Linked DNA regions of Mus musculus. The protein of the gene in region 6 interacts with the protein of the main gene of each other region in a biochemical or structural test. Links are inferred from orthologs where the notes say so. Each region holds a gene or a part of one and is shown on either strand. Other genes may lie near its edges.

Region 1 (3,912 bases), on a different chromosome or scaffold from region 6:
GTGAAAAATGAAATATTTTTACTTAATTTGGGTGGGATTTTCTCTGTAATCCTCACTTTGCACAAAGATACTGTGTTGGTATCTAATCAAGTTCACTTATTGTTTTTGAACACATAATTCACTTGAAGATACTGCAGAATTTCTATGTTCTGCTCATTTATTCCAAATATAAACTCTATTCAGCTTAACTAGGCAATTTGCAACTGAATTATAATTGTTGTGAAAATACTTGCACTATGAAAAGACTGTCTTCTGTTACTGCTCTTTACTTTGTGTGAAAAATAAGGACATCATATCAAAGGGCACATTTATCTGAATGTTTAGAATAAATTATCACAAATATTTATCCTGGTGAGTAGCAGCCCTAGGCCAGTGTTATGGAAACTTCATATTCTTCATTAAAATTCATTATTTTTAAGAACAATTTCAGGCATATCTGAACATTCACCATCCTGACTGTATCTGGGAATTCTTTACCTCATCATCCTCAAAAATGGTGGGATTTTTTTAAATAATTCTATATAGTTTATATACAAAGTTTGCTTACAATGTATAACTTTCTAACTTAAACAGCTATGCAGTTATCATGTGGGAAGTGTTATCCAGAAAACAGCCTTTTGAAGGTACGTATACTTTTATTCCAGAGGACATCATGTGGGTGGTACACGTCTCAACTGTCTAAACCTCACCAGATTTTAAATATACCAGCCATTCATTTTGTACACAAACTGCACTGTACAAACATAGCAGTATATCAGTTATGCATCTATTGCATACTATAAAATATACTAGATTAAGGATCAGTTATGAAGAGTGTACTTGGCTTAAAGATCAGAAAAATTTAAATTCTAGTTTTTATTCTAGCAATAACTAACCCTGTGGTCAAGCCACAAAATTTCATGACCTCATTTTTTTTATTTGCAAAATGAGAACTTATTTTCTTCGAGACAGAGGCTCACTATGTAATTCTGGCTCTCCTGGTGGAACTATGTAGACTATAGACCAAGCTGGCCTAGAACTCACATATTTGCCTGCCCCTGCCTCCCAAATGCTAAGATTAAAGGCACGTGCCATCATACCTGGTTTTATTACTATTTTCAAAATCATGATATCAATAAAATTCTGTGTGAAAATTTAATTGTTACTCCTTCTATAAATACCAACAAACATTGAAAAATAACCTTTGTCATTCCCAGATAATATTGGGGCATTTTTTTTTGAAGTTCATAATGTTGAACTTGTTACATCATGAATATCCTTAATATTTCAGTAGTTTAACAGATAGCATTTATCTCTCATTCACATTAACTGTACGTTACTGTCCCTCGTTGCCTATGCTAGGCTCTGCTGAGCTCTGCCTGTTTGGCTCTTCTCACAGAGCAAATCAAATAACTTGTCTAAATCTAGAACTCGGGAGGAGAGGCTATAAATTCCTCCTAGGAGAGGTGCACCAGGCTGAGAGTGGCTGGGACGTAAGTCCTCTTACAGAAAAGGGTATTTTGAATTAAGTTAACACTTTAAGATATCCTCATTTTGATTTGAAATGTGTTAGTAATGTCTTTCCAGTTAATGAAATACATTTGTTTTGACAGAGGTCACCAATCCTTTGCAGATCATGTACAGTGTGTCCCAGGGACATCGACCTGACACCAGTGAGGAGAATTTGCCATTTGATATACCTCATCGAGGTCTCATGATCTCTCTAATACAGAGTGGATGGGCGCAAAACCCAGATGAAAGACCATCCTTTTTGAGTAAGTGAACAGTTTTAATCTGGACCTTTGAATTATAGAAATTATGAGTATACATTAAATAAAGTATTCCTTAAAAATTCATGCCTATCTTGAAACTATTCTATACATTAATTTGCTCTTGTTGTTTGTTACATTTACATATAGGCAATGGCTACTAGAAAAAGGTTGAGAATTCCTAACAGAAAAGCGAAGTTGTTTGGTGGTAGTAACATTCCGTTCCCTTAGTGAACACCTGCCTTGTGAGCCCTCCTCACTGGGATGAGCAGAGAGAGCTAAGAATAAATGTGGCATCTTCTCAATGTAACCTTCTTCTGGAGAAAGCATGGAGGGAATGAATAAATAACTAAGACACAACTTGTCAAGTCAGTCCTGAATTAAAACAAATGGCCTCACCCATGAGAAGAATGGCAAAGGGTTTTTAGGAGCTTGTATTTGGGTTCTTGTTTCAAGCTTGAAACAGAGCCAGTCATTCTCGGACTAAATAGTCCAGCAAAGAAAACATCCAAAGTAAAGAGTCTGAGACGATAGGAAGAAAATGTTTTGTGTTTTCAAGGAAAAAAGAGGAAGCCCCTGTATTTAGAGCATAGTGAACCAAGAAGGTGGTGAAGGTGCCTTAGAGAGTAAGGGAATGGTTGCCAGCCCCTCTCAGACCTATACTCATGCGTAATGGAAAGCCATTCACTCCTGTCTCCTCTGGGAGCAATGTGATCTAATTTAAGTTTAGGTCAAAATCCCTCTTGACTGCTAGATGGGGAAGTGACTGTGTGAGAACAGAGAGAGCAGTTCGGAAACTCCCTCAGTAATTGTCCAATTCAAGTGACAGTTCTAGACACAGAAAAGTTATCCAACGTTAAGGCACATTTCAGAGGAAGAGGAAGATCAGACATCTAAGTATAAGCAGGAGGGACTCTTAAGACCTTGCTTAGGCAGAGTTCTTAGATTTGAATCCATAGGATCTAAAAAAAATGGTTTTTTTCAATAAATAATCTTGGAGATTGAACTTTTATAAATTAGAACTTTGTACTTGAATAAATACCAGCTGAGAACTGGCTTTCAGGAGAAAGTGCTTGTCATACAGGCCTGAGGAAAGGAGCTTCGATTCTCAACACCCATCAAATGCTCTACAGGTATGCCGCAGACTGCCGGTAATCCCAGCATTTAGGAGGTGGAGATCGGGGCTCCAGAACAAGCTGACTAGTGAGCGAGACTAGTGAGCTCTGGCTTCAGTGAGACCTGGCATCATGGCCTCAGTGTAGAAAGCAGAAGCAGAGCAGTCCTTTGCAGATGCACATACATGCAAACATGCAAATAAGATGCTCACATCACACACACACAGACTCTTACAAAAATAAATTAACTACAAAAACATGAAAAGACAAGCCACGGATGTTTGGAATATATTTTCATATCCTATATCAAAAGGACTTATGTCTGGAAATAAAAAAATCATTCTGTCTAATCCAATAATAAGACTAATAGCAGTTTTAAAATTATAGATTAGGATTCTACCAAAGAAAATATACAGTTGACTAAAAAGCATATAAAGGTGTTGTTCATATCACTAGAAAATACAAACGGAGAGATCGCAATACAAACCCATTAAAACGGCTATGGTTAAAAATGACAGATAATTTGCAAATTCGTCTGGAATAACAAAAAACCTAGGATAGCAAAAAGTCTTCTCAAGGATAAAAGAACTTCTGGTGGAATCACCATGCCAGACCTAAAGCTTTACTACAGAGCAATTGTGATAAAAACAGCATGGTACTGGTATAGAGACAGACAAGTAGACCAATGGAATAGAATTGAAGACCCAGAAATGAACCCACACACCTATGGTCACTTGATCTTCGACAAGGGAGCTAAAACCATCCAGTGGAAGAAAGACAGCATTTTCAACAATTGGTGCTGGCACAACTGGTTGTTATCGTGTAGAAGAATGCGAATCGATCCATACTTATCTCCTTGTACTAAGGTCAAATCTAAGTGGATCAAGGAACTTCACATAAAACCAGAGACACTGAAACTTATAGAGGAGAAAGTGGGGAAAAGCCTTGAAGATATGGGCACAGGGGAAAAATTCCTGAACAGAACAGCAATGGCTTGTGCTGTAAGATCGAGAATTGACAAATGGGACCTAATGAAACTCCAAAGTTTC
Region 2 (3,912 bases), on a different chromosome or scaffold from region 6:
TGACTGATAGTCACAGAATTATGGAGTTGGGAGCTCTGTGCTGTCAGGCACCTGTCTCTGGGATTGTGGCTCACTATTCTGTCCCTTGTAGAGTTTTCTACTGGGTCTCTGGAGCAAGACTCGCGCAACCAAAACAGGCTGCCTTTCACTGTCCCAAGAGTAAAGATCGTGTACACACATGCTAGCTCACACACACACACACACACACACACACACACACACCCCTACAGCGAAGAGAGCTCTGTGACTCAGAGTTACTGCTGCTGTTGAAGTGTGCCGGGTGATGTCAGGCTGGGTATGAGCGTCTGTGACCTGCCAGGAACTTAAGGGGCTGATTGTTATGAACCCTGACAGAACCTATCCAAAGCCACCGGAGCTGGAGCAGAAGCTCTGAGGTCAGGGGCTTTGGTTTCTTCTTGTTGGTTACTTGGTCTCTGGAAGGAGGCCATCCGTAGAGTTGACACTCATGTGTCGGATTACACTATCACGTTGATGGTGCAGCAACTCTGGAGCTTAAACTCGCAAAACTGCTCACCCTACCTTTAATTCATTACGTGCTATGTCACCTGAAAATGCTAAAAGACAGAGGGCCACAGTTTATAGAGTGCTGCTCATGTGTGAAGACCTGCGTTCAGCCCCTAACACCCACATACAGAGCCAGGAGCCTCGACACACACTTGAGACTGGTGGATCCTTGGGGCTCACTGGCCGACCAGCCTACCCTGACGGGGAGATCCAGGCCAGCGAGAGAGCCTGGCTAATAACACAAGAGGACAGAGTCTAGGGAATGACGTCCAAGGTTGACCTGTGTGTGCGCACACGCACAGACTTGTCCCACACGTGGACACACACACAATCACAAGGCTAAGACGCCACTCTGCATCTCTGTTTTTCTGGTTTGGTTTTCCTCCTAGATGACCGATGATCAGGACTGTGCTGCGGAGCTGGAAAAGGTGGATTCTTCCAGCGAAGACGGAGTTGACGCCAAGCCAGACCGCTCCTCTATCATCTCCTCTATTCTCTTGTAAGTTCTCCTCTTGGCTCATCACCCCCCTCAGCCACTTAGACCCACTTCACACCCGATGGGAGGGGACACTCAGGAAAGGAGGTTTGTGTTGGACCTTCTAGCTTAGGCAGGTCCAGGAAGGCTGCGCTGCACTGTGTGGGCTCCTGCTCACAGCTGCATGTTTGAGGGGCAGCCTGCTCTCATCCGAGCAAGGCTGGGGGCTGCTGATGCCTGTCGGTAAGGAACATGGCTGCTGAATGGCAGAGTATGGGTTGTAGGAATAGCAGGTACCAGGGCAGCTTGCTCAGGGGTGAAGCTAGACCCCTCCGTGTTCAGGCCCCTAGCTTTCCTGAGTCCATGTTGTATTCTACATCTGCCATGTATGAATAATCACACCTTCATTTATCATTTGTATCATCACATTTAACCCATGTGTATTCCCGGGGGATGGGTCCCTCGTCGATGCCATCTGGCGGGTTGGGGAAACTGAGGCACTAAGGCTTCATCACTTTTGTGACGGGTCAATAATAGATGGTTGTGCTGAAACTAGTGTCCAGACTGTACAGCGGCACTCACATGAAGGGATCTCTAGTTAAAAAGAGGGCTGGCCAGCAAGGTGGCCCAGTGTTTCAAGCCTGCTAACTGGATGGGATTTATCCCCTGAAGCCTCAAGGTAGAAAGAACCGACTTCCCCCAAGTTCTTTGACTGCCACAAGTACACAAATAAGTAACGTAATTTCGGCGGAGGGCTTCAGGGGAGCAGAGGACCCTCCTCGCACCTTCTTTTGGTCGGGGACATTTATGGCATTCCCTGAGGGTCAGGCACACCCCTCTGCTTTACGTGGTAATCCCCACCCCCATCTACAGCGTCACCTTCTGATGTTTCGATTGCTCTTCAACCATGGTCTGAAATTGTTAAATGGAAAACTCCAGAAATACGAACGCACATTGCTCATCCCACGTGGTGCGGTGGAATCTGCTGTCACGACACTGTCCCATGCAGTCATGTGTCATCCCTCTGTGGAGGATGTTACCAAGTCGTCGCTTGGGCTATGACAGCACTGTGCTCAGGGCATCCTGTTTTATTTAATATTGCCTCCAAAGGGTCGGTTCTTTTTTTTTTTTTTTTTAAAGATTTATTTATTTATTATATGTAAGTACACTGTAGCTGTCTTCAGACACTCCAGAAGAGGGCATCAGATCTTGTTACAGATGGTTATGAGCCACCATGTGGTTGCTGGGATTTGAACTCCTGACCTTCGGGAGAGCAGTCGGGTGCTCTTACCCACTGAGCCATCTCACCAGCCCCCAAGGGTCGGTTCTTAATGCTGCGGTTCCTACATGCCCAAAGGAGGGTGCACACAGAGTTCTTTCTTGAAGCGGGAGTTCTCAGCCAGCGAGGAAATGAAAGCCTGGGCTCAAGTTGCTGGGCTCTGCTGTAAGAATGGACTTTTTCAGGGGCCTGTGTGGTTACTCACTTACTGTGCAAGTGAGATGACCAGAACTGAAATTCCCAGAACTCATGTAGTAGGTGGGTGGTGGCTTGCCCATAGTTCCAGCCTTCCTTGGCAGAGGCAGAGGAATCCTCAGAGCAAGCTGACTGGTGAGACTAGCTCTGGAGTTGAATGAGACATTCTACCTCATTGAAGAAGGTGGACAATAGATAATTCCTGGCATCAGCTGAAGGTCTCAACAGACACACACCAGTTGCAAACATGCCTTCACATACATGCACCCAACATACACAGGCACGTCTCACACACACACACACACACACACACACACACTGTATGAGAAAGGAAAGGGAAAAAGAAGGAAGGCTTTTTTTTTTTTTTTTTTTTTTTTCTGAGACAGGGTTTCTCTGTATAGCCCTGGCTGTCCTGAACTCACTCTGTAGACCAGGCTGGCCTCGAATTCAGAAATCCGCCTGCCTCTGCCTCCCGAGTGCTGGGATTAAAGACGTGCTGTTGTGAGGTTGTAAACAAAGGAGATGTACTAGGATGCTGTGCCGCTCACCTATGAGCCTGTGCGCCATGATGGTGACCTCTTCATGGTAGAAAAGGCACAGGACAATAGGGATTGGTATTGCCTGTGGTTTGGAGGTCCTATCAGTGGTCCTGGAACGCACACCCCCCTGGTAAGAAGGAACCACAGTGCTTCCTAAGCCATTCTCACTGGACACAGACCGCAAGGGCATGATGGACTCTGGGCAGCGCTCGGGAAAGGGAGAGCTGACTCACGAGGCTTCCCCTGAAACCCTCCAGAGACAGCTGCAGGTCATACCATCCCAGACGAAAATAGCACTCAGGAGAGTAGTCCCCAGTGCAGCGGGCTTGAATTTCAGTGGGTGTCACCTGAGTTCAGGAATAATCCACTGGAGTTCCAAGCTTTCAAAAGCTTGGTGAATTGGCCTAGGCTAGCCTGTTTCCCAGAGAAAGCCATTTAGAGGAGTAGCCTTCAAGTGTTAAATGTCACATTCTGACACTGCACCCCTGTACAGCGTAAGCTGCTATTATTTGTTTGTTTTTACAGAAATGCTCTCTATAGTTCCCAGCTTTTTTTTTTTTTTTTAAATGTATGTGGGTACACTGTCGCTGTCTTCAGACACACCAGAAGAGGGCATCAGATCTCATTATAGATGATTGTGAACCACCATGTGGTTGCTGGGAATTGAACTCCGGACCTCTGGAAGAGCAGGAGGTGCTCTTAACCACTGGGCCATCTCTCCAGTCCGGCATAACTATTTAGATAGTGTAAAAATGATTACTAATATTATGTATTAATGCTGGAGATTAATATGGCAGCAGTTTATTAATATTCTGTATATATTAATGCTGGAAATTGAAGTACAACAGCAGTTATTCCTTAATCAGCTAGTTCCGCAAATAACCACACAGAGACCTTTT
Region 3 (3,912 bases), on a different chromosome or scaffold from region 6:
AACATTCCCTCCAACACTAGCCTCACTCTGGCTGGCGGAGAGTTTCAAACCCAGCCCTAACACCATCAAAACATTTATTAAAATCAAAGCAGGAGGGAACAGAACTGTTAGGAAACAAATCAAAGTGCAGACTGGAGGGTGGGGAGGACAGCAGAGGAGCACTCCAGCCATAGGAAGGACGCATACCCACCCCTCCTGGCCGCAGTCAGCCAAGGCCCTCACGTACCCTCCCCATCTCAGATCCCCTGGATACATGCGGCTGGAGTACTGGTACAAAGGGACTGTTTCTCCAGCCCATCCATGGCTGTCAGTCTGTCTCCCTCTCCCTTTCCCAATAAATAAACTGCTTGGGCCTCAGCAACTCTTGGGTAGGGATCCTGCCCTTGCTTCAGAGAACAGGGACTTAAGGTATCACCCATGCCCCCCACCCTTTGCTTATCCCCCCAGGCTTGCCAGAGGCCTCGATAAATAAATAAACGCTCCATTAAAGCTTCGATCGGAAAACTTTTAAGCAGTGCTCTTGCTGCCCTGCAAACCCAGCCAGGCAAGCTGTACCACCCGGCCTGGCTGACACACAGGATTCTGAAAGCAGGCAGCCACCCTGGGCCTCACAGGGCCCCTGCAGCAAGGACACCAAAAGTGCAGTTAGAGCCCACCCCCACCCCAATGCGCACACATGGATCCATGCACACATGTGGACACACCAGGATGTGTCTGCAGCACACATACAGATGTGTTCACCTTCATTCCCGGGCACACGTGCACATACACATACATACACACACACACACACACACACACACACACACACACACACACACACTCACACACACACACACACACACTCACACACACACACACACACACACACTCAGACACACACCCCAGGCACACAGTGCGCAGTGTGGGGTGCATGCACACACACTGTACAACATCCTTCCCATTTTGGTCTGCTCAATGTGGCAGCAACCAAACCCCAGAGCTAGAAGCTATTGGGACAGAGGGTATGGATCGTGCTATTCCAATGAGGCAGGAAGGATGGCCCAGGGCAGGAGGCTCCAAAGCTGCAGACAGGTGGGCATCTCCAGACACCCTGAATCCCTAGGCTTCTGTCAGAAATCCAGAGGGGTCAGGTCCCCAAAGTCACAGTCAAAGAGATCTCTAATGCCCTCACCCTCCTCGAGACCAAAGTGATAGTCAAGGGCCTCGTGGGGTGGGGAGAGGCTGATGAACTCCCCAGGGAGGAGCCCAGAGAAGTCTTCTTTAACATGCTCCAGGAGTGAGTCAGCAGCCACCAGTGGTGACAGTTGGTCCTCTTCCATAGGGACCCTCAGGTGGCCCATCCGTGGCAATACTGCTTCTGGAGAAAGGAGGCATTACAAGTTAGGAGAGGCCCAGCAGGAGAGGGGCTGCCATGAGTGCCTGCCAAATACTACAAACCCTGGCCCTACCTACCTTGCTCCAGGCCCAACAGGGATTGACTGGGATCCAAGGCTGGGGATGTGGAGGGAGGTGATGGTGGAGGCCCTGCTGGGCCAGAGTCTGCAGTCCGGTCCTCCCCAGAGGATGTCTCCTGGCATGAGGTCTTCCCAGGGCTAATCCCGTCTGCACTCTCCTCCGGGCACAGGAAAACATCAATGGGGCCTTGTTTGCTCTTAAGGGAGATCTGAAATGTCTGGGTGGAGGCAGCAGGCAGGATAGATAGGTAAGGCCTAGGTGAGCACCAGCCCAGCCTCCCTGTCTTGGAAAGGCTTAGGGTCCTTAGTCTCACCTCTGAAGAATCCACAGCTTGTAGTTGGGTCTCAGGAGGGGCCTTGATCACTATGACCATCTGTTCTGCAGGGTCTGCAATGCTGCGAAGGTCCTGGCAGGTCACATAGGCCAGGGTTGGGGGAGTCAAGGACCACTGACTCACATACGCCTCCCCAGTCACTCCTTTTTGACACCCTCATCCCACCACCTGGCCCATAGTAGCTGCCCAGAATCTCATTACTAAACTTCAACTTTCTCAACAGTGAGACTATCTACCCATCCAATTCCAAACTCATGGCTGCCTGTAATAATTTCATATCAAATGCTCAACAGGTCTGGACTGGGAAATGGATTTTGACAATCTTACTGATAATGATATTCACTAAAAGGCACACTTTCTAATAGTTTCTTTTTGTGAATTAAAGTCTTAACTTTGAAGCTACAATCGGGAACTAAATTAATGACCAAGGAAAGGTTTGTCACTCTTTGGTGACAGGGTCTGTGTAATCCAGTGACCTATGCTTATGTTGCATGTCTTACTCTATAACCTCAATTGGCCTTCAGTGTTAGTTTCTGCCTCATCCCTGGCCCTGGGATTACAAGTATATACCACCACACTGGGCTTTCCTTCTTTGGTTGAGACAGGGTCTCACTGGGTAGCCCTGGCTAGCCTAGCATGTGGACCAGAGCAGCCTGAGTTCAGATATCCCCATGGCTCTGCTCCCCCAGAGTCTGTATCCCTGTTCTCAGCCTGGTCTTTTCTGTATATGAGTGGTTTCCATACCTGTATGTGCACCACACAAGCACTTAGTGCTTTTGGAGGTCAGAAGAGGGCATAAATGCACTATAACTAGAACTACAGATAGCTGTGAGCCACCATGTACATGCAAGGAATTGAACTTGGGTCCTCTGTAAGAGTAACAAATGCTTTTAACTGCTGAGCCATCTCTCCAGTCCTTGGCTTCTTTTAAAATGTATTACTTGATTTTAAAAAAAGATTTATTTGTTATATATAAGTATACTATAGCTGTCTTCAGACAGCAGAAGAGAATGTCAGATTTTATTTTATTTTTGTTTTTTGAGACAGGGTTTCTCTGTATAGCCCTGACTGTCCTGGAACTCACTCTGTAGACCAGGCTGGCCTCACACTCAGAAATCTGCCTGCCTCTGCCTCCCGAGTGCTGGGATTAAAGGCGTGCGCCACCATGCCCAGCGTTTTTCTTTCTCTTTTTTTTTTTTTTTTTTTTTTTTTGAGACAGCAAACTGGCTCTGTAGAGCAGCCTGCCCTCAAACTCAGAGATCCGCCTGCCTCTATCTCCCAAGTGCTGGGATTAAAGGTGCACGCCACCACAGCCCTGGCTATTTTTCTATTAATATGTACAATTTTGGAAATAGATATTACTGTCCTCTCTTTTATAGGTGAAACTGAGGCCCATAAAATCCAAGTAACTTGTTCGGTGTCACATGGTAAGTCAATGTAGAGCCAGGTCTTGTTTCCAAAGCCAGAATTTTTTATCATCAGAGCCCTAGGTAACCTCTATAGTCTCAGTAGTGCGGCGCCACCACTGGCCAAGTCGGCCTTCAATGCACCCTGACCAATCCAAGGATATCGCTGGGTGTCGGAGTCCTCCGAAAGCAGTTGCAGCTGTGTGGTACAGATGTGCATCAGGTGATCCAGCTGCTGCTCACTCTCCTGCAGTTGCTGCAGGTCCTGGGTCAGGCCTTCAAGCCGCTTACCAATCCCCACCATGGTGTGGCTGCCTCTGTGGGAAGCCAGTGAAGAATTAGCAGTCCTTGCGCCCCCAACCCATCCATCAGCCCTAACCCTCAAGACAATCTGTTGCCACCACTATTCTGTGAGAAGCTGGCAAGCTCCTTTTCCTCTGTGGCTCTGCTCCCCAGGTAGGCTTAGAGTAAGACTGGCACGGGCTCAGTAAAATGCTTGATCAGTCAACAAACACCCACCAAGGAGCCAGGTAAGAAAACAATAGCACAAACATGCCATGGAATGACACAGCTGAATTAGATACAAACGATTTGGAGACACACTATCAAGTAAAAAGAAAACAATACAGAATGAAGAATCATCTATCAAAAACCAAAGCAGATATGCCAGAGAAGGCAGCGGGATGCCTGGGGAGGCAGAAGGTACAGCAGAGA
Region 4 (4,605 bases), on a different chromosome or scaffold from region 6:
AGTGGGAACGGCTCAGGAGAATAGGCACTGGACTCAAAGAAAAGGAAAAGGAGAAGAGAAAAGCACAGCAACAACGGTAACCAGCACTCGCTCAGCGCTCCACAAGGACCGGGCACTCAAGAGCCTCTTCATACTCAGCATCTCATTTAGGCTTGTTTAACTTTCCCTTGAGGCATCTCTCTTGAGGAAGAAATGATATGCTGAGGATTACTCCGTAGGTTAAAAGGGTACTGAGGGCTGGAGATGGCTCAGCAGTTCAGAGCACTGGTCATTCTTCCAGAGGGCCTGGGTTCCACTCCTATCACAACCTAATGGTTCACCGATCTCAGTAACTCCAGTCTCAGGAGATCCTCTGCTGGCATCAACATACGGCACGGACATACACACAAAAACACCCATACACATTAAAAAATGTAGGGAGAAAAAGAAAGGTGTGGCAATCCAAATGAACCCTACAGGAGGCATTCTACACGTTTTTACTAGATTTTCTTTTTAAAGCCAGCAACAGGCTAAGACGTATCTCAGCTGTTCAGACGTGCCAGGAAACCTAAGGCCCTGAGGCCCAGCTGGGGGTGGGGGTTACAGAATGAGTGCTGGCATACCTGCTGCATGTGCATGTCAGGTCTTAGGAATTCCCAAGCACTAAGGTTTGGGTTTGGATCAGCAGCAATTTACCTTTTTAAAAAGTAATTGTCTTGAGATGTCTTTCAATGTACTTTTTCATAGTCATCCCTACTTCCTTCCAACTCCACCCCAGCCCTAAAAACTCACCTAGTCCAATCTGTGCTGCCCATCCATAGACTCAACAGTGTGAGGCCTCACACTGGGGCTAGTTTCCCTCAAGGACCACATCCATAGAGAACACTGACTGGCTCACCCCTAGAAGCATCAAGGGCCCATCTCGACTCAGCCTAGGCCCTCTCTGCCCTGGGCTAGGATCTTATACAGCTGCTGCTGAGTTCACAAGTGGAATCTAGAAAATACTGTTTCCGCTGGGTGTCCCTGACCTCTGACTCTTATAATCTCTCTTCCTCCCCTTGGTCCCTAAGCTCTGGGAGGAAAAGAGGATGGTGACAGAGCAATTTAACTTATTAAAACACTAGGAATGTGGTAGTATTCCCCAGCCCACAAACTGCTGGTGAAACATTTTTAACTTTTCAAGGAAAGTTCAGGTAAGTTTTAAACGTTCCCCAGCAAGGTGCTATGTTATAGTTCAACCGCAATACAAAAAGAGAGACAGACAGACAGACCCAGCCATCTTGCCTTCACTTAAAGCAGACCTGTGGCTCATACCTGTAAGCCCAACGCCTATGTCCATGTCCTCCTAACAGGAGAATCATGGAGTTGGGACCAAGGCAGTCAGAAACTAGGATTTACACAAAAAGACCCCGGCCCCACAATACAACATCTTCACTATCAAACTAAGTGCCCCAAGTGACAAAGCTTTCTTTTAGGAGGTGAAAGGAAAGCACCATTGACATTCCTACTCAATGAAATTCCAGTGTGTCGTTAAATACATTGAACCGTATCCATGAGACTTCCTGTCTCCGAGACAAATCCCACAGACAGACATGTTAGCAGAAAAATAAAGTTCTCTGACCGTCTGGCTGACTTAGTTACAGGGACGATCCCAAAGTCTAATGTAGAGTTCTGTAAATACGCTGAACAATCGCTCATAAATCCACGGGCTCATAAACCCATGGGCGGCGAGTGCTCACTGCAAGTGTGGAAGGCATTAAGCAAGTTTGGCAACGTACTCGACTGAACTAGAAAGTGGACCAGTTGCACTCTGCGTTTGAGGAAACGGGTGGTAAATCTCCAAGCTTCCTCGTTAACACGAACCTACACAAGCTACGCTGAGACGCGCGATTTTGCTCCGATTACACTGAGATTCTTGTTTCTACCGAAGGGGTGGGGGGAACGGGACGGACTGCATAAGACCAGTCTTGTCTCCCTCAAGGGCCTGAAACCATCACGGTCAATCACGAAAAGAATTGCCTCGAGTCACAGGGAGCTGGATCTGCTACATCCATATCTAATGCCTTCAGAGAAGGTTTGTTTGTTTTTAATAACCACACTTCGTTCAATGGACAGTCTTCATCACACTCCTTCAGCTAGCATCCCAGTAACTTTCTCGGCGTAAGTGTGAAAATGAATATTTTTATAAACACCCTGTCAAGTCGAAGCAACCGAGCCCTTTCCCAAGTTCCAGGTCACCCAAGTGACTGGTGCAAACATGCATCGACCAGGGCCGGCCGACTTGGAGGCCGTTACCTATCCCAGTTCTCGGGGGGGGGGGTGCGAGGGGGTACCCTGAGTAAATGAAGAAACTATACGTCCCTTTCTCAAAAGACAAAAATTTTTTTTAAAAATGTTTCAAGAAAAATTCTTCAAACCAGCCTCGCCTACGTGCCAAGTCGAGTAGGGCGACGGGCGGCGTCCGGCCCGGGAAGAAGGCAGGAGGGTGGAGTTCACTTTTCCCTCCGGCCGGCTCGCCCAGGCCCTCCCCCAACCAGAATCCGGAACCAGGCCCGGGAGGGTGGGAGGCTCGCGCCCCCCAGAAGGCCGGGCGCGCGCTCTACGCCAGCTCGAGGCTTTTCGGGCCTGCGGGGGCCCCCGATGGCGCTGCGCGCGGCACCGGGTCCGGAGCGCCAGGCGCGGCCGTGCACTCACCCGTCTCCCACCACCACACACTTGATGGCCTGCATCTGGGCCGCTCGGTGGGCCGCGGCGGCGGCGGCGGCGGCCGGTGGCTGAGGCGCGAAGCGGCGGGCTCGGGAAGCGCTGGGCGAGGCTGCGGGCGGCGGGGCGCCGAGTGCCGGGACTGCTGTCCACGCCGCCGGGCCCTCAGCGCACGGGAAGGCGAAGCGCAGCAGCAGCCACCACCCAAAGCTGGGGAAAACTGCAGAGAAACAGGAAATGGCCGCTCCACTCACATCCGGCCTCCCCTCCCCCTCGGTGCCGTCGACGCAGCTCCCAGGCTCCGGGCGGGGCCGCTCCCGCCCGCCCGCGCGCCCGCCCGCGCCGTTCCTGGCTTCCACGGGCTTTCGGGAAAGCTCGGCAACAGTCGGCTCCAGCCGGAGAACGGGCTCGGCGGCCGCGGGGCGGGGCGGCCGCCATCTTGGCACGCTAAAGCGTCCCGGTTGTGACCAGGTTTAGGAAGCCCTCTGAATCCTGGGGTTACGGGTTCGGGTCAGTGGTAGGGTCCCGTTCGCTCGCAACCTACTTGTGCCAACTCCATGGAGAGATTCCTGAGCCCCCTTGTTATGTGATAACTACAGTATGCTGTAGCGTAAGATCCTGCTAGAAAATTCTGTATAGCTCGTGCCACAGTGAGATCCAGTCTCAAAAAAGAAACTGCTAGGGATGTAGCCAAGTCAGAATGTTTGCCGGCATGTACAGCCTGGGGCTCCATCCCTAGCACATCACAGCCTGCCCTGGTGGCTCACCTGTAATCCCAGCACTTGGTGGGCGGAAGCAGTAGAATCCTGGGGATCAACCTCAAGTCCAACCTCTGGATATGCAACTCAATTGGTAGAGTGCTTCCCCGAGCAGATACAGATATGAAACCCTAGGATTGAACCTCACGACGGTATGAAACAGATGTGGTATATATCAGGTAGTGCATACCTGGAATCCCAGCTCTGGACTGGAGGTAGCAGAAACATCTGAAGTTTGACCTCTGGCTATGTAGCGTCCAGCGTTAACCTGACCTACCATGAGACTTTCTCAATAGGGGTGGGGGGTGGGGAGGGAGCACTAAATAAACAAAAATATAAGGAAAAAAAAACATACATACCATTAAAATAATAAACAGAAGGATAAAGGTCAGAAGAATTCTTTTAAAGATTGCTGATATGATAGGGTAAGCATATAATTCATTCACAAATAAGGTAGCCTATTAGAAGACAAGAACATTAAAGATATTTTTGGTTATCTGTGGTGTGTGTGTGTGTGCATGTTTTCATGTGTGGGCACATGTGTGGTGCACATGTGTATAGAAGACCAAGGTTGACACTGGGTGTATTCAGTTGCTGTTCACCTTATATATATTGAAGTAAGATCTCTCATTGAACACAAAACTGGCCAATTCCAGTTAATCTAGCCAACCAGCTTGCCCTGGAGATCCCATCTTTATCTTCCGGAGTTACAGGTGAGTCACCGTACCCTCCTAGTATACTAGTTTCTGGATTGGAGCTCTGTTCCTCACACTTGCCTGGCAAGTTCCCTCCTCCTGGAGCTTAAGAGGCCAAGCTGCTCTTCCAGTAGACTGGAGTTAGGTTCCCAGCACCTGAATCACATGGCTTACAGCCACCTGTAATTCCAGCTCCAGAGCGATCCAACACCTTTGGCCCCCTGAGACACCTGCATTCATTCACGTGTGTGCACGTGAGCACAGACACAAAATCTAAAATATTTTTTTAAAGAAAAGAAACCAGACCAGGAATTCCAGCCATCCTAATATCCTAACAGTAAAAAAATAAAACAAACAAACAAAAAATAGAAACAAAACAAAAAATTTAAGGGAAGCATCTGTGGAACTATTCCACGAGAATTTCCCAGACCTGGAGGATAAACCATTTACAGATAGATAATGCCCACAGG
Region 5 (3,912 bases), on a different chromosome or scaffold from region 6:
CCAACAAGCACATAAGCATCTCTGCCACATGCATGATACCATGCAGTTTCCATTAGGGTTTATGTGGTGAGCTGGCAGCAGACATTTTAGATCTTTGTAGAATCTCAGGTCACTCTTAAAATTATACTCTAATTATATCAACCTCAATGTCATCATTTAAGAGATGTATGTTTCTGTTTTAGAAGTATTTCAGTTTTTCTTAATACTAAAACTAGCTTACAGACAGAATGATTCTTAAAAACCTATAGGTGTCTGTTACTGGGTTACAGGCTAAAAGATCAGGGGATGGAGCTTGGATTCCCGAGGCATGTGGAACCATAGTCATCACACCACATCTATCCATGCTCTAATGGAACCACAGCATTGGCAGCTTCCACAATAGAAAAGATAGCAGAGGGCTGGATCTGGTGGCACAAACTTCCAGTCCCAGATACCAAGGAGGCTGAGGCAAAAGGATCCAAAAGTTTGAGAGCAGCATTGTCATTGCCCTTGTTTGCAAAAATTAGTTGATTAATTAAAACTAGCAGCAGAGACTGTTCCTGCCTTCATCAGTATACTTTCAGGAAAGCTTTGTTAGAAGGTATCATTGTCCCCCGCCCAACCTCTTCCCGCTTCTCTTGGGTCCTTGACTTTTCTTGTCCCTATCTTGTGAAGCTTATCATTGGCTGACCCCACAGAAAGGCTCTCATCACAGATGACTTATCTCTGGATCAAAATGCCTACTTCTGTCACATGGCTGATCTTACCTGGTTTGGGGGAAGAGAACCATCTGGTAAAACCTCAGTGCCACGTGTACCATATTTTATCCTTCCCACCATGTCCATGTTTCTGAGGGATCTGTTGATTGTGCAGTTGTAAGGCATGGGGAGATGGAGGGAGGGGAAATATTTGGGACAAAGGCAGAAATGCCGCTGCCCCTTACATGACATCTGTGCTCTGTCCAAAGTTGGTGACTGGCAGTTCTACACACTGGCATCCCCTAATTCCTTCCTCCATGTCATTCTCTGTGCCTGGAATGTTTACTCCTTAGTTATCTGCTTCACCTTGCCTTTCTGCGGGAAACCTTTCCCACCTAGCTCAGGTTGGGGTGGGCACCTTGCCTGTGTTCCACAGCAGGTGACTGTATGCCTATCAGACACCATCCATCACATCATATGCTCCAGTTGCTTCTTCTGCCTCGTGTACTTGCCTGTGTTGTATGTCAGCTATGGGCTCCTGAAGAACTAGCATAAGACACAGACCCTAACAGGTAAAGAAACTTTTTAAAAAAATTATCTAGTTTTGATAAATTCATCTCTTCCCTGATTTTACATTTTATATTGCTGTGGTTTATATTCTAGATTTAACCTATAGCAACTTCTTAAATGGTTTAAAAGTACAATTGCTAATATCCCACTTTCTCTTATAGTCAACAACATTGCACACACTTTTGTTCATTACCACCTGTCATTTACAGCATAGACATTTTCATCAATCAACTCAGATTTGTTATCATTTATACATATATCTATCAGACCATTTGGGGGCAAACACCTTTAATCCAAGCCTGGTCTATATATGAGTTGCAGAAAAGCCAGAGTTATATAGCAGAGAGAGACCCTGTCTCAATAATAATAAAAGTTTCAACAAACAAATAAACAAATGTATGAACAAAAGTAAGGACAGAAAGAAAGCCAGAAAGCAAGTAAGCAAGCAAGGAAGTCCAAACCATGAAAACAAAATTCCCAACCAGAAAGCTACACTCTAAGCCGCCAAAGCAGTTAGTACCTGATACATTAGCACAGACTGCCTTACAGTGCCACCTACCTGGGTCTTTAGCACGTGCATCAGGTTGCCCTTCTCCATGTACTCCATCACCAGCGAATAGTTCCCTTCTTCTATGATGATGCCCAGTAGCTTCACCACTCGACTGTGTCTCAGTCTGTGCATCATCTTCCCCTCTTCCAAGAGAACCTCATTGTACCTGTGGCCAGGAAAGGAGCTAGGCTGAGCAGGGCAGGGCAGGGCAAACCCTTCTACCCAGGTGCCTAAGAAGCTCCAGTGTCCCTGCAGTGTGTGCACCATTTGCAGACATTTGTCACAATGAGGTCTTTTCTGATCTCCAGGCAGACAGGTCCTAGAAGGCAGGGAGGCTTCTCCTCATCTAAACTCCTCCCTCCTGTTTTGTCTCAGGAACTAGAAGTCGGGCAGTTACAACATGCAAATCAACTAATAAAAAGTGCAGCATCGATCTGGCCTGATGAAGACTGAGCTGGAAAACACATTAAGAAAAAAGGCGCCCCTCTCAAACTAGCCTGAGGAGAAGAGAAGCTCTCCACCTTTTACAGGGTTGCTGTCTGTCTGTCTGTTTGTTTTTCTGAGACAGAATTGGCCTTTTTTTGTACTTCAGGTTTAGGTGTTTGCAGCCATGGCTGTTTTCTTCTCATTGCCTCCCTTACTACCCAGCTTTCTGTCTTCAGTGATGTCTTCCTCGTATATTTCTCAAGCATTAATATCTTTTTAATTAACCCCAAAGTCCTCATCCAAAATAGTAGTAAGAGTTATGGTCACCCTTGAGCTAGCCAGTGTGTCAAGTCTCCCTGCAGGTCAGCCTCATTCAAACCTCTGTGTTTAGCCACACAGATGGAGATAACTACTTTCTGCAGTCAGCTAGCAAAAAGCCAAGCCCATTTATGCCCCCAACTCACTCAGCGCGGTTGGGCCCTGTGTATACTTTTTTCAGGATGACAAATCCATGGCTTCTGTGGTAACACAAGGACACCTTCCCGAAGCCTCCGCTGTCTAGGTCTGTCTTCTCCAGCAGGTCACTGGATGCCATCTTAATATTGTCCAAGGACATGTCTGGTTGCATTTTGATTGCTCAGAATCTCCAACACACCACTTTTGGTTCTTGCTTAGTGCTGTGTCCTATAAAGCAATCAGAGAGGATGTCTCAGGGCAAAAGGACCGTGATTTAAACAAAACAAAACAAAACAAAACATACTACATGTTGCCAGGGATAGTAGCACATGCCTGGAATCCCATTACCTAGGAGGCTGAGTCAGGAGGATTAAAGGTCTGAGGCTAGCTTGTACTCCACAGTGAGTTCTAGACCAGCTAGAAAATACAGTGAGTCTTATCTCAGAACCCTCCACCTCCCAAAGTACCACATATATGGAGTGCCTTTGTTTTTCTTGAGGAGAAGTACCACATATATGGAGTGCCTTTGTTTTTCTTGAGGAGAAGTATAATCTGTGACATGAGCTGTTCAGTTAAGAGTTACGGAAGACTGTGATTTATATTACAGGGGATGCTTCATGTCTGGCATCATGGAACACTAGAAAAAAATCAAAAACATTTTATCAGAAAGCTACATGTGTTAGATAACATGAATTGAGCATCCACTGAAATTCATAGTTTAGTTCAGTGGGAAGGAAAAATTCTAGGGACAAAAAGTAGACTTGGCAATGGACAAGGGGTAATGACTTTTAGGGTAGCAACTTTACTAGTGTGACCCTAGGTTAGGAGTGGAGGTGGTCTGCAACACAAGAGGATTTGAGTGAGACCTTCCTCATCACCTGGACCTCCTCAGGATACTACTTCTCAGTGGAAAGATGGACTGGAAAAAATAAGGAGCAGTCACTACCAATGAATATATGTGTCTAGGATTAGGAATGAGGTAAAATACGATTCTCTGTTAATTTATAACCTGAGCCATCTTCAAATAAACTTGGGCTTTGTCTTTAGAGGGTCCTGGATGTTCTCTTTAGGGCAGGATTCCCCAAACTAAGAATGTTTGTGTAGAAAGAGGTCATAGTCTGATGATATTCTTAGATTATAATGTTAAGCACATTAGACATAAGTTTCCTTCCCAAAAGTATAAAAACAAAATAAAACATTCCTTATGAGCTAGACTCTCTCTATATATAACAA
Region 6 (3,912 bases):
GGGTGTTATGAACTGAGATGGGGAAGGTCAGAGAAAAACATCTGAAGAATGAAATCAGAGGAAACCTAGTGCTTTGACATATTTGCTGAGACAGCTATTGTAGCCCAAACTGGAAGCACCTCTAAGATTTACACAGGTAATTGAACATTCCAGCCTGGACTGCATCTGACCTGAGCATAATAAAGTACACTCGTTTAGTAGTCTACCACGTAGGAATATGAAAAAGGAACTAGCAGCAGAAACGGTTCAAAATCATCCTAACAAACTGGAAAAACACCTAAAAGAGTGGCGTCAGGGAAGTCCCCAAAGCTGGTGTGTAGAGGACAAAAGCTCAGTGTGCGGCAGCGTGCTTCCATCAGCCCTGCCCTGTGGCAGAGGAGCAGGAGCATCCCAAGCTCAGGGCCAGCTGAGGATGTGCCCAGAAGGATTCACTCCAGCAGTTTCCAGTGACTCTTGTCATTATCAAAGCAACATTTCCAGATTAGCAGGAGGTGACATAATCCAGTGGACAAGGCCAGGTGAGGTGGCCTGTAATACCTGTAATACGGTGCTCAGAGCCTTAGGCCAGAGGATCCAAAGTTCAAAGCCAGCCGGGGGCATATTATAAGACCCTGTATGAAAAATGAATGAAAAAAGAAAGGAGGGGAAATATGAGAAGAAGGGAAGAAAGAAGAACAGAGTCAAGTGGTTCTAAGAGAAAGAAAGAAGTTCTCTTCGCTCTCCTACTTTCTCTGTGCTGTCCTATGAATGGGGAAAGAAGTACAAAAGCACTTCCCAGGCAAGCCAGAATTTGATCCCCAGAACCCAAGAGAAGACTGATTCCTGAAGTTGTCTTCTGATCTCTACATGTGTACTGTGAAACACATCTAGATATACACCATACACGCACAATCTCTCATATATTCCTTTAAAAATAATTTTATAAATTAAAAGCAGCAATCTATAAAGAAACAATGTGCAACAATCATTATGAAGATAGGTGTCTTAGTCAGGGTTTCTATTCCTGCACAAACATCATGACCAAGAAGCAAGTTGGGGAGGAAAGGGTTTATTCTGCTTACATTTCCATACTGCTGTTGATCACCAAAGGATGCAGGACTGGAACTCAAGCAGGTCAGGAAGCAGGAGCTGATGCAGAGGCCATGGAGGGATGTTCTTTACTGGCTTGCCTCCCCTGGCTTGCTCAGCCTGCTCTCTTATAAAACCCAAGACTACCAGCCCAGAGATTGTCCCACCCACAAGGGGCCTTTCCCCCTTGATCACTAATTGAGAAAATGCCTTACAGTTTGATCTCATGGAGGCATTTCCTCAACTGAAGCTCCTTTCTCTGTGATAACTCCAGCTGTGTCAAGTTGACACAAAACTAGCCAGTACAATAGGCAAAGAGATTTTATAAGGAAAACAAAAGCAAGATGTATAGCATGGTGCAGCGTGGCACAGAGTGCTCTGGGTTCCAGCCTACATTAACACTGACTAAGAGCAGCTGTCTACTACTTCACCCTGTCCAGTTCCTTATACAGGCAGTTACCACATACTGAGGTACTCCTTCCTCTCACACATGACCCCAGTGCCTTACCCCCTGGAGCATAGTTTCCATGACTAAGCCCCTATCTACTATGTAGTCAAGGTTTCTACGACTTTTAAATATCTTGGTCACGTTTCTCTGTACCGGCTGCAAAGCTGCCAATGCCTCTCTCCAAATGGTGAAGCAGAACCAGCACTCCCCTTGTGATATGACCAGCACATACCGTGACCGTTATTTAACCACAACACATGTAACTACTGAGAGCTGGCTAAACTCAGCTCTCATACAGAGCCCCCTGCACCCAATCACTACTCTATCTCCAGCACCACCTGCAGCCTCTTCTAACACATTCTAGGCACAGTGACCGTCTCCCCACTGGAGGTAAAGCTTTCATTCGGTATGCTTCAAGCTGTTTTCTGCATGTGTCTCGTCACTTCATATGCTCATATGTCAGCTCTTTAAATAATAATAGTATCATAAATGTCAGGAATCTCAGTAAAAGCATACATTTTCTAGTTAACATCCCAAAGTTGCCCCTATGACTTCAGAAACGTTACCACCCTTTTCACTAATATACTTTTACTCTTAACATTCTTACAAAAATTCATAGTTGTATTTGAACTATTCCTACTTACCTGTAGGGTCAGCATTTTCTTCTCCTGGGGTGTCTGAAGTGGACAACAGCTATGAAATAAGAGAACACTTGACAGCTAAGTCAGAAATCTCTAACATTCTAAACAGCACAGTTGGGGATCTCACTCTGTTGCTGACACTGGCCTAGCACTCATGGAAATCTTCCTGCCTCAGCTTTCCAAGTATCGGGATTACTGGAGTGAGCCACCACAGCCAAGCAAACAGACATTTAAGTAAAGGGACGCATCCTTTTGGAAACTCCAGGTATGCTAGCACACTCCTATAATTTCAACACTTAGGAGTCTGAGGCAAGAAGACCAGGAGTTCAAGTCAACCCTCAGATACAAGAAACCCTGTCCCAAAACTCTAAAATAAACACACATATACTTTACTTTGTTTTGCTTCATCATGCTTATCATACAGTTATGCTTACACATTTATCTACATCCAAGTTAAAACTCCAGTGTGGCTTCTATTTTAGAGACCAGGAAGATACAATAGTGCCATCTCATTCCATTTGGAAAGTGGGATTTCATGAGTAACTCTTCCAAGGCTTTAACTCTCAACAAGTTTTTGTTTTTTTCTAGAAGAGACTAGAGACATTGACAATACCTCTTTAACCCCATATAAAGACAAAGCAAACAAACAAAAACCTCTGTACAGTAGCAGGATATAAGATTTTTCAAAAAGGCAAAAGTAAAAAACAATATTTATAAAGAACCCTGAACAGCAAGCTACCAACAAAACTGTCAAGAATGCCGTTACTGTGGCTACAGGCCATGTAACTTGAACGCCAGCTCTTCTAAGCACACACCCAAACTAGGCGGGTCTTTCTTTCTAAGTACTTTTTTTCTTAACTACAGTGCTTAAAATGCTATAAAAATTTAATAAACTTCAATTTTGCCTTAAAATTATGTAAATGAAATACAAATAAATGTCTCTTCTAAGATTTCTGTAATTATTATTTCATAGTATAGTTCAATGCTGTACTTTTGTCTGTATATGTAGAATATATGAACCTGGCCACATAGGTGTGTGCATCTATGTGCTCACACACATGTGGAGGACAAAGGTGAACACAGGTGTGTTTTTAAGACAAGGTCTCCGCTTCATTTAACCTGGAACTCACTGAATGGCCTGGCCAGTGACCTCCAGGGGTCACCTGTTTCCAACATCCTAGGGTTACTGATGCATGCTCCCACACCAGCTCTGTATGTGGTGCTGGGATCTCAGTTCAGGGCATCATCATATTTCATAGTAAGAACTTTATCAAATGAGCCATCTCCCCGCTTTCACGTAAATGTTAAAATCAGTTTACCTGCTCAAGAAGATGAGGATATCTAGCTTGAATCTCATCAACAAACTCCTGACCCTTCATCCGTATCAAGAACTCACACCTAAAATGTGAAACAAAAACTATTTTTAAGTACTTCATATCAAAAATAAACTGACTATTCTATAGGAGTGACTTTCAAATCATCTTCATTATAACCCATAAAACCCTGTTTATATCACAACCCAGTAGACATTTAGTATAACAGAAACCAACTGTCACACACCACATTCTCATTGTGTTGGTGCATTCTATTATTTTTTTCTGTTTCATTCCACTTATACAACAAAAAAGGGAATAAGTCTGCACTTAGAAAGGGGTACAAGTTGGCATGTGAAACACAATGTTATAGACATTGTCTTTTTCATGCTTAAGGCGATTTTAAAACCTATTAGTCCTTATCTATTAACATTTCATAACA
Region 7 (4,433 bases), on a different chromosome or scaffold from region 6:
AAATACACTCAATATGAATTGTTCCCTTTCATAAGAGATCTTGTAATTAAATGCCCCTTATCCTCTTTAAAAAAAAAAACAAAAAACAAAAAACTAAAACTAAAATGGAAGAACCACTTAAATTATAGCCCTATGAATCAAAGATCAAAGTTTGACTGTGCATTCAAGCCCCATCAATTCTCCTCCAAAAAGTACATTAGACCAAAAAAAAAGAAAAAAAAAATCTGCAGTATACGTATCATAAAAGTAACTAGAAATGTGGGGCAGCATTAGACTCAGTGGGTCACAAAAAAGAACAAGAGTTGGGAGATGGACTCACTGAGGGGAGAGCTGAGGGACAGAGGAGGGAGATAGGGTGGTCAAAATATAAAATGTTTCACATGTATGAAAATCTGAAATAAAATAATCTACAAAAATATTCCTAAGAAAACAAATCTTTTTGCAAAGATTTGTAAACTTTGTAAACTTTAGTCTTGATGGGTTTACAAGGATCACCGGAGCAGGGAATGTGTTTACTAAGCACAGGTATTGTCTCAATATGAAAACATCTTGAATTTAAATAAGAGTTTAACAGAATATAAGGCACTTTAGGGTCTTGAACAAATTGTTTAAAAACAAACTCCTTGTAAATACTCAGTTGCCAATCTCTTATGTCAAAATCAAACTAATTGTGTTTTTAATTTTTATTATTATTGTGTGCATTTATTTGTACACATACACACTGGCAAGAGTGTGAAGATCAGAAGACAGCTTTTGTTTTTGATTCTTCAAGACAGGCTGTGTAGATGAGTCTAGCCTCAAACTCAAGAGTTTGCCTCTGCCTCCCCAGGGCTGGGATTAAAGGCTAGGACCACTAAGGCCCAATGGAGAACAACTTTGGAGAGGATTCACTCCTTCCACTTTGGGTTCTGGGGGACCCAACTAAGGTAGTCAGGCCTGTTGGACAAGTGTTGTTATCCACTATACCATCTCACCAGCCCAAACTAGTTAATTAAAAAAAAAAAAATGGTGCACATATAAACCTTTTAAATATAGGCTAAAAAAAACACAATAGTAGGTAAGTATTCCAATTTTATATTCCTATATGTCACATTAAGGCTAACAAATTTTGGAAGATTTTGGAAGATTCAAGCTCCACAACTACCAACTACAGAAAGCCAATTTGAATCCACCACTCCAGTATTTTACAAACATCATTTTCTATACAAATGAGCAATAATGGGAAAAGTCTTGTTCAAACATGAGCCACCCTTACAGGGATGCACTGGATATCATTTGCTTTGCAGTGTTAATGTTCTTCAATGCTAGTGTGTACTATAATCAAAGGACACACCATTCTAGTGATCTAAAAATATTACTCAAGTTTTTAGGGTTAGAAATTAAAATCAAGGTTGGTAATTCAAGTAGCTCATTCCTGTAAGCCCAGCTCTTGAGAGGCAGAGACTAGGAGGTCCCTCTATGTTTAAGGTTAACCGGGGCTACATATGGAGACCCTGTCTCAAGATAAAAAAAAAAAAAAAATCCAAAAGCCCTTTTAATGGAAAAACTAAAGCATGCAACTTTGAAGTTGCAATCCTAACAAAGACAAATCAGGGGTATGACGAAATTCTCTTTTCACCTCATTCTTCAAACCATGCACTGAAGTTGGGTTCTTTACATCAAGTAAGTCACAATTAGTGTGGCAAAGAATTGCTCCTGCAATTCACCCGAGTATATAGCCAAGGGGTCCTTTAAAGATCATACCTACACAAGTGGCTGCAGACAGTGTATATTCCCTGACCAAAATAACTTAAACCTAAGATTTTGAACCTTCGGTATTTTAGGTGCATCTCAGGCAGCCTGAAGACAGGCAACAGGATTTCAACAACAACAAAAAAAAATTGCCACCTTACTCTGAACCAATGTGCTGGGTTGACCCACAAAGGCCGCAAGATGCTGTCTTAATTTGAATAGCCCTGACTTGTAGGAGTTAAAACTCTCACCCCTTATGCTGCGATGACGTAATCTTCCACACTGAATTTCTCCCAGAGTTAAAGGGGTGGAAAGAGGAATTTACAAAATAGTAATAATAACCGACAAAGAAAATTTCCTGCTAGGAACGAGGAACTGAGTAAGTGGCCAGGCGGGGTTTCGGGAGGTGCTTAGGCAGGTCCCGGATGGCAAAGAGGCCGGCCCCGGCAGGAGAGCCCCGGGAGCCGCGGGGCAGGAGAGGACACGGCGCGGGGCTGGAGACCGCCGAGGGGCGCAGGCGCAGAGCCGCCCGGTCCGTCACCTCGGCCCCGGCCCGGCCCGGCCCTGCGGCCGCAGTTCCGCTCCCCTCCCCCGCCAGCCGCAACGCGTCCGTGGCGGGGCCGGGGAAGCAGGAAGTCGAGGCCCACAACGGAGAGACAGCCCCCGGCCTCCGACCCCGGTCCGGACCGGGCGTCTCCCACCCCGCGCCCCGGGGCCTCGGAGCCCGCGGGCGGCCGGAGGGGGAGGGGAGCGGGTGGGATGGGTGTGCCCGGTCCTCTCGCCGCCGCCGCCGCCGCCGCCGCCGCTGACAGCTCGGCCGGGCTGTGCCCTCGGCCGCCGCCATCCCCGGCCGCGCCGCGCCGCCATTCCAGCCCTAAGCCTCGCCGCGACCCCGCCTCGCTTCCCTCAGAACCCGGGCCGGCGGGCGCACGCGACCCCGGCAAGCCCTCCCTCGCGGCCCACCGCCCGCAAGCACCGGGATGCCCCTGCCCGCGAGCATCCTCGAGAACCGAGAGAGGACGGGGGGGGGGGGGACACGCGAAGGGGACCGGGCGGCGCAGAAGACGCTCCCGCAGGGAGGCTTCTCGGGCCCCGCACTCACCTCAGCTTCTCCGCCGGGGCGTTGGCAGCACTGCGCGGGGCCTCCTCGGCTGCCGGACAGGGGCACGCGCCTGACGTCAGCACGCAGGGGACGCATGGTTGGGTGCCCGCGGAAGTGGGAGGGACAAAGAGAGAGAAGGGGCTGAGGGCGGCTCGGGCTCCGCCCCTTGGCGCGCACGCGCGCGGGCTGCGTTCCTTGCATGCTCTGGTTGGCTCTCTGCGCCTTTTAACGGTATTTTTTATCCGTAATAAAACTATGAACAATGATGTGCACGGTGTTGTAACTAAAGTTTATTTTGAGTCTTGCAACTTCGTGAAGAAAAGTGTTGTAAATATGTTTTACTTTTATATTTTTGTTTATTTTATTGAGACAGGGTGTCATTATGTAGCCCTTGCTATCCCAGAATGGCTATGTAGACCAGGCTGTCCCAGAACACAGCAATACTACTGCCTCTGCTTCCAGAGTTCTGATATTTCAAGAAATGTACTACCATGCCTGAGCTGTCTCTCTCTTTTTTGTTGTTGTTTTTTGTTTTTTGACAAGAGTTTCTTTCCATGGGTAGCCCTAGCTGTATTGAAACTTGCTGTGGAGCCCAGGCTAGCCTGGAACTCAGAGAATCCCTTGCCTCTGCTTCCTGGGTGCTGGGATTAAAGGTGTGCATCACCATACCCAGGCTACCGGGTTTGTTTTGTTTTGTTTTGTTTTTAATAACTTGAGACGTGATCTCGTTTAGCGCAGCCTGGATTTGAATGCTTAACTAGGTACCAGAGGTTGATCTTAAACTGCTAAGCCTCTACCTCCGAAGTGCTGAGCTTATAGGCGTGCCCCTCCATAGCCTGCCTCTTTGCTTCTCTGAGAGAGGAAGTGACTTGCTGTGCACAGCTTTATCTGTCTGTTTTTGGAGTGGGAGTTGAGTATCACCCTCGGTTTTGTTTAGAACTAAAGACTTTCCCCCTCAAAAAAGTCCTACATTTACTGTCCCTGAGTGCTCTCCCCTGGCCCCTTTGGTTGGATCTGACCTATCAAATCCTTCTCTTCCCTGTCATCTCGGCGCCTGTTGAATAGCTGCCTTCTCTGGCCGTGTACTAGCTGCTGGAGAATAGAGAGCCTAGCCTTCTGTCAGATGCTCCCCAACATTAGAGGAACCTTATCTCAGTAATGTTCTCTTGCGGGCTGGAGATGTAGCCCAGTCGGTAGAGAGCTTGCCAAGAATGCACGAAGCCCCACGTTAGTGCCTCTACCACATTCATAATCCAAGCTCTGAGATGGATGGCTGTAATCCCAGCACTTGGGAGGTGGAAGCAGAAAAATCTATGGTGACCCTTGGTTGCATAGAAGATTCAGAGTGTCCTAGGATACAAAACATCCATTCTCAAAAAACAGGAGGGTGTGTCTTAAGGAGGCAGAACTCTGAGACCTCAGATGTGTGCTCCTGCATCCAGCTTTATGTGGGCCCTAGGGATTCGAACTCAAGTCCTCACACCTGCGCAGCAATCACTTTGCCCTCTAAGCCACCTCCCAGCCTGCAATCTACTTCTTTCAAAGCTGTACTGTAAACATCGTTCTGTGTCGAACGAAGCCCCGCTTATAGCAAGGCTGC

What was found.
Region 1: the proteins of Birc2 (region 6) and Ripk2 form a complex in vitro, tested with the Homo sapiens proteins (4 studies listed by BioGRID, with this or other methods). The link is inferred for Mus musculus from reciprocal best matches to the Homo sapiens genes BIRC2 and RIPK2.
Region 2: the proteins of Birc2 (region 6) and Casp7 form a complex in vitro, tested with the Homo sapiens proteins (2 studies listed by BioGRID, with this or other methods). The link is inferred for Mus musculus from reciprocal best matches to the Homo sapiens genes BIRC2 and CASP7.
Region 3: the proteins of Birc2 (region 6) and E2f1 form a complex in vitro, tested with the Homo sapiens proteins (2 studies listed by BioGRID, with this or other methods). The link is inferred for Mus musculus from reciprocal best matches to the Homo sapiens genes BIRC2 and E2F1.
Region 4: the proteins of Birc2 (region 6) and Rac1 form a complex in vitro, tested with the Homo sapiens proteins (2 studies listed by BioGRID and IntAct, with this or other methods). The link is inferred for Mus musculus from reciprocal best matches to the Homo sapiens genes BIRC2 and RAC1.
Region 5: of the proteins of Birc2 (region 6) and Ripk1, one has a biochemical effect on the other in vitro, tested with the Homo sapiens proteins (6 studies listed by BioGRID, with this or other methods). The link is inferred for Mus musculus from reciprocal best matches to the Homo sapiens genes BIRC2 and RIPK1.
Region 7: the proteins of Birc2 (region 6) and Cdc42 form a complex in vitro, tested with the Homo sapiens proteins (2 studies listed by BioGRID, with this or other methods). The link is inferred for Mus musculus from reciprocal best matches to the Homo sapiens genes BIRC2 and CDC42.

What each region holds. Positions count from the first base shown.
Region 1 is NC_000070.6:16,135,916-16,139,827, reverse strand, and holds part of Ripk2 (receptor-interacting serine/threonine-protein kinase 2), read left to right. Parts: intron 1-573; coding exon 574-623; intron 624-1,592; coding exon 1,593-1,754; intron 1,755-3,912.
Region 2 is NC_000085.6:56,403,502-56,407,413, forward strand, and holds part of Casp7 (caspase-7 precursor), read left to right. Parts: intron 1-914; coding exon 915-1,024; intron 1,025-3,912. UniProt on the Homo sapiens protein: Thiol protease involved in different programmed cell death processes, such as apoptosis, pyroptosis or granzyme-mediated programmed cell death, by proteolytically cleaving target proteins.
Region 3 is NC_000068.7:154,559,576-154,563,487, forward strand, and holds part of E2f1 (transcription factor E2F1), read right to left. Parts: intron 3,516-3,912; coding exon 3,363-3,515; intron 1,887-3,362; coding exon 1,772-1,886; intron 1,676-1,771; coding exon 1,456-1,675; intron 1,361-1,455; coding exon 1,113-1,360; 3' UTR 1-1,112. UniProt on the Homo sapiens protein: Transcription activator that binds DNA cooperatively with DP proteins through the E2 recognition site, 5'-TTTC[CG]CGC-3' found in the promoter region of a number of genes whose products are involved in cell cycle regulation or in DNA replication.
Region 4 is NC_000071.6:143,525,090-143,529,694, forward strand, and holds the start of Rac1 (ras-related C3 botulinum toxin substrate 1), read right to left. Parts: upstream 2,905-4,605; 5' UTR 2,709-2,904; coding exon 2,674-2,708; intron 1-2,673. UniProt on the Homo sapiens protein: Plasma membrane-associated small GTPase which cycles between active GTP-bound and inactive GDP-bound states.
Region 5 is NC_000079.6:34,008,596-34,012,507, reverse strand, and holds part of Ripk1 (receptor-interacting serine/threonine-protein kinase 1), read right to left. Parts: intron 2,908-3,912; 5' UTR 2,852-2,907; coding exon 2,688-2,851; intron 1,964-2,687; coding exon 1,807-1,963; intron 1-1,806. UniProt on the Homo sapiens protein: Serine-threonine kinase which is a key regulator of TNF-mediated apoptosis, necroptosis and inflammatory pathways.
Region 6 is NC_000075.6:7,823,455-7,827,366, forward strand, and holds part of Birc2 (baculoviral IAP repeat-containing protein 2), read right to left. Parts: intron 3,556-3,912; coding exon 3,477-3,555; intron 2,210-3,476; coding exon 2,161-2,209; intron 1-2,160. UniProt on the Homo sapiens protein: Multi-functional protein which regulates not only caspases and apoptosis, but also modulates inflammatory signaling and immunity, mitogenic kinase signaling, and cell proliferation, as well as cell invasion and metastasis.
Region 7 is NC_000070.6:137,354,813-137,359,245, forward strand, and holds the start of Cdc42 (cell division control protein 42 homolog), read right to left. Parts: upstream 2,948-4,433; 5' UTR 2,834-2,947; intron 2,827-2,833; exon of another isoform or gene 1,983-2,826; intron 1-1,982. UniProt on the Homo sapiens protein: Plasma membrane-associated small GTPase which cycles between an active GTP-bound and an inactive GDP-bound state. In active state binds to a variety of effector proteins to regulate cellular responses. Involved in epithelial cell polarization processes.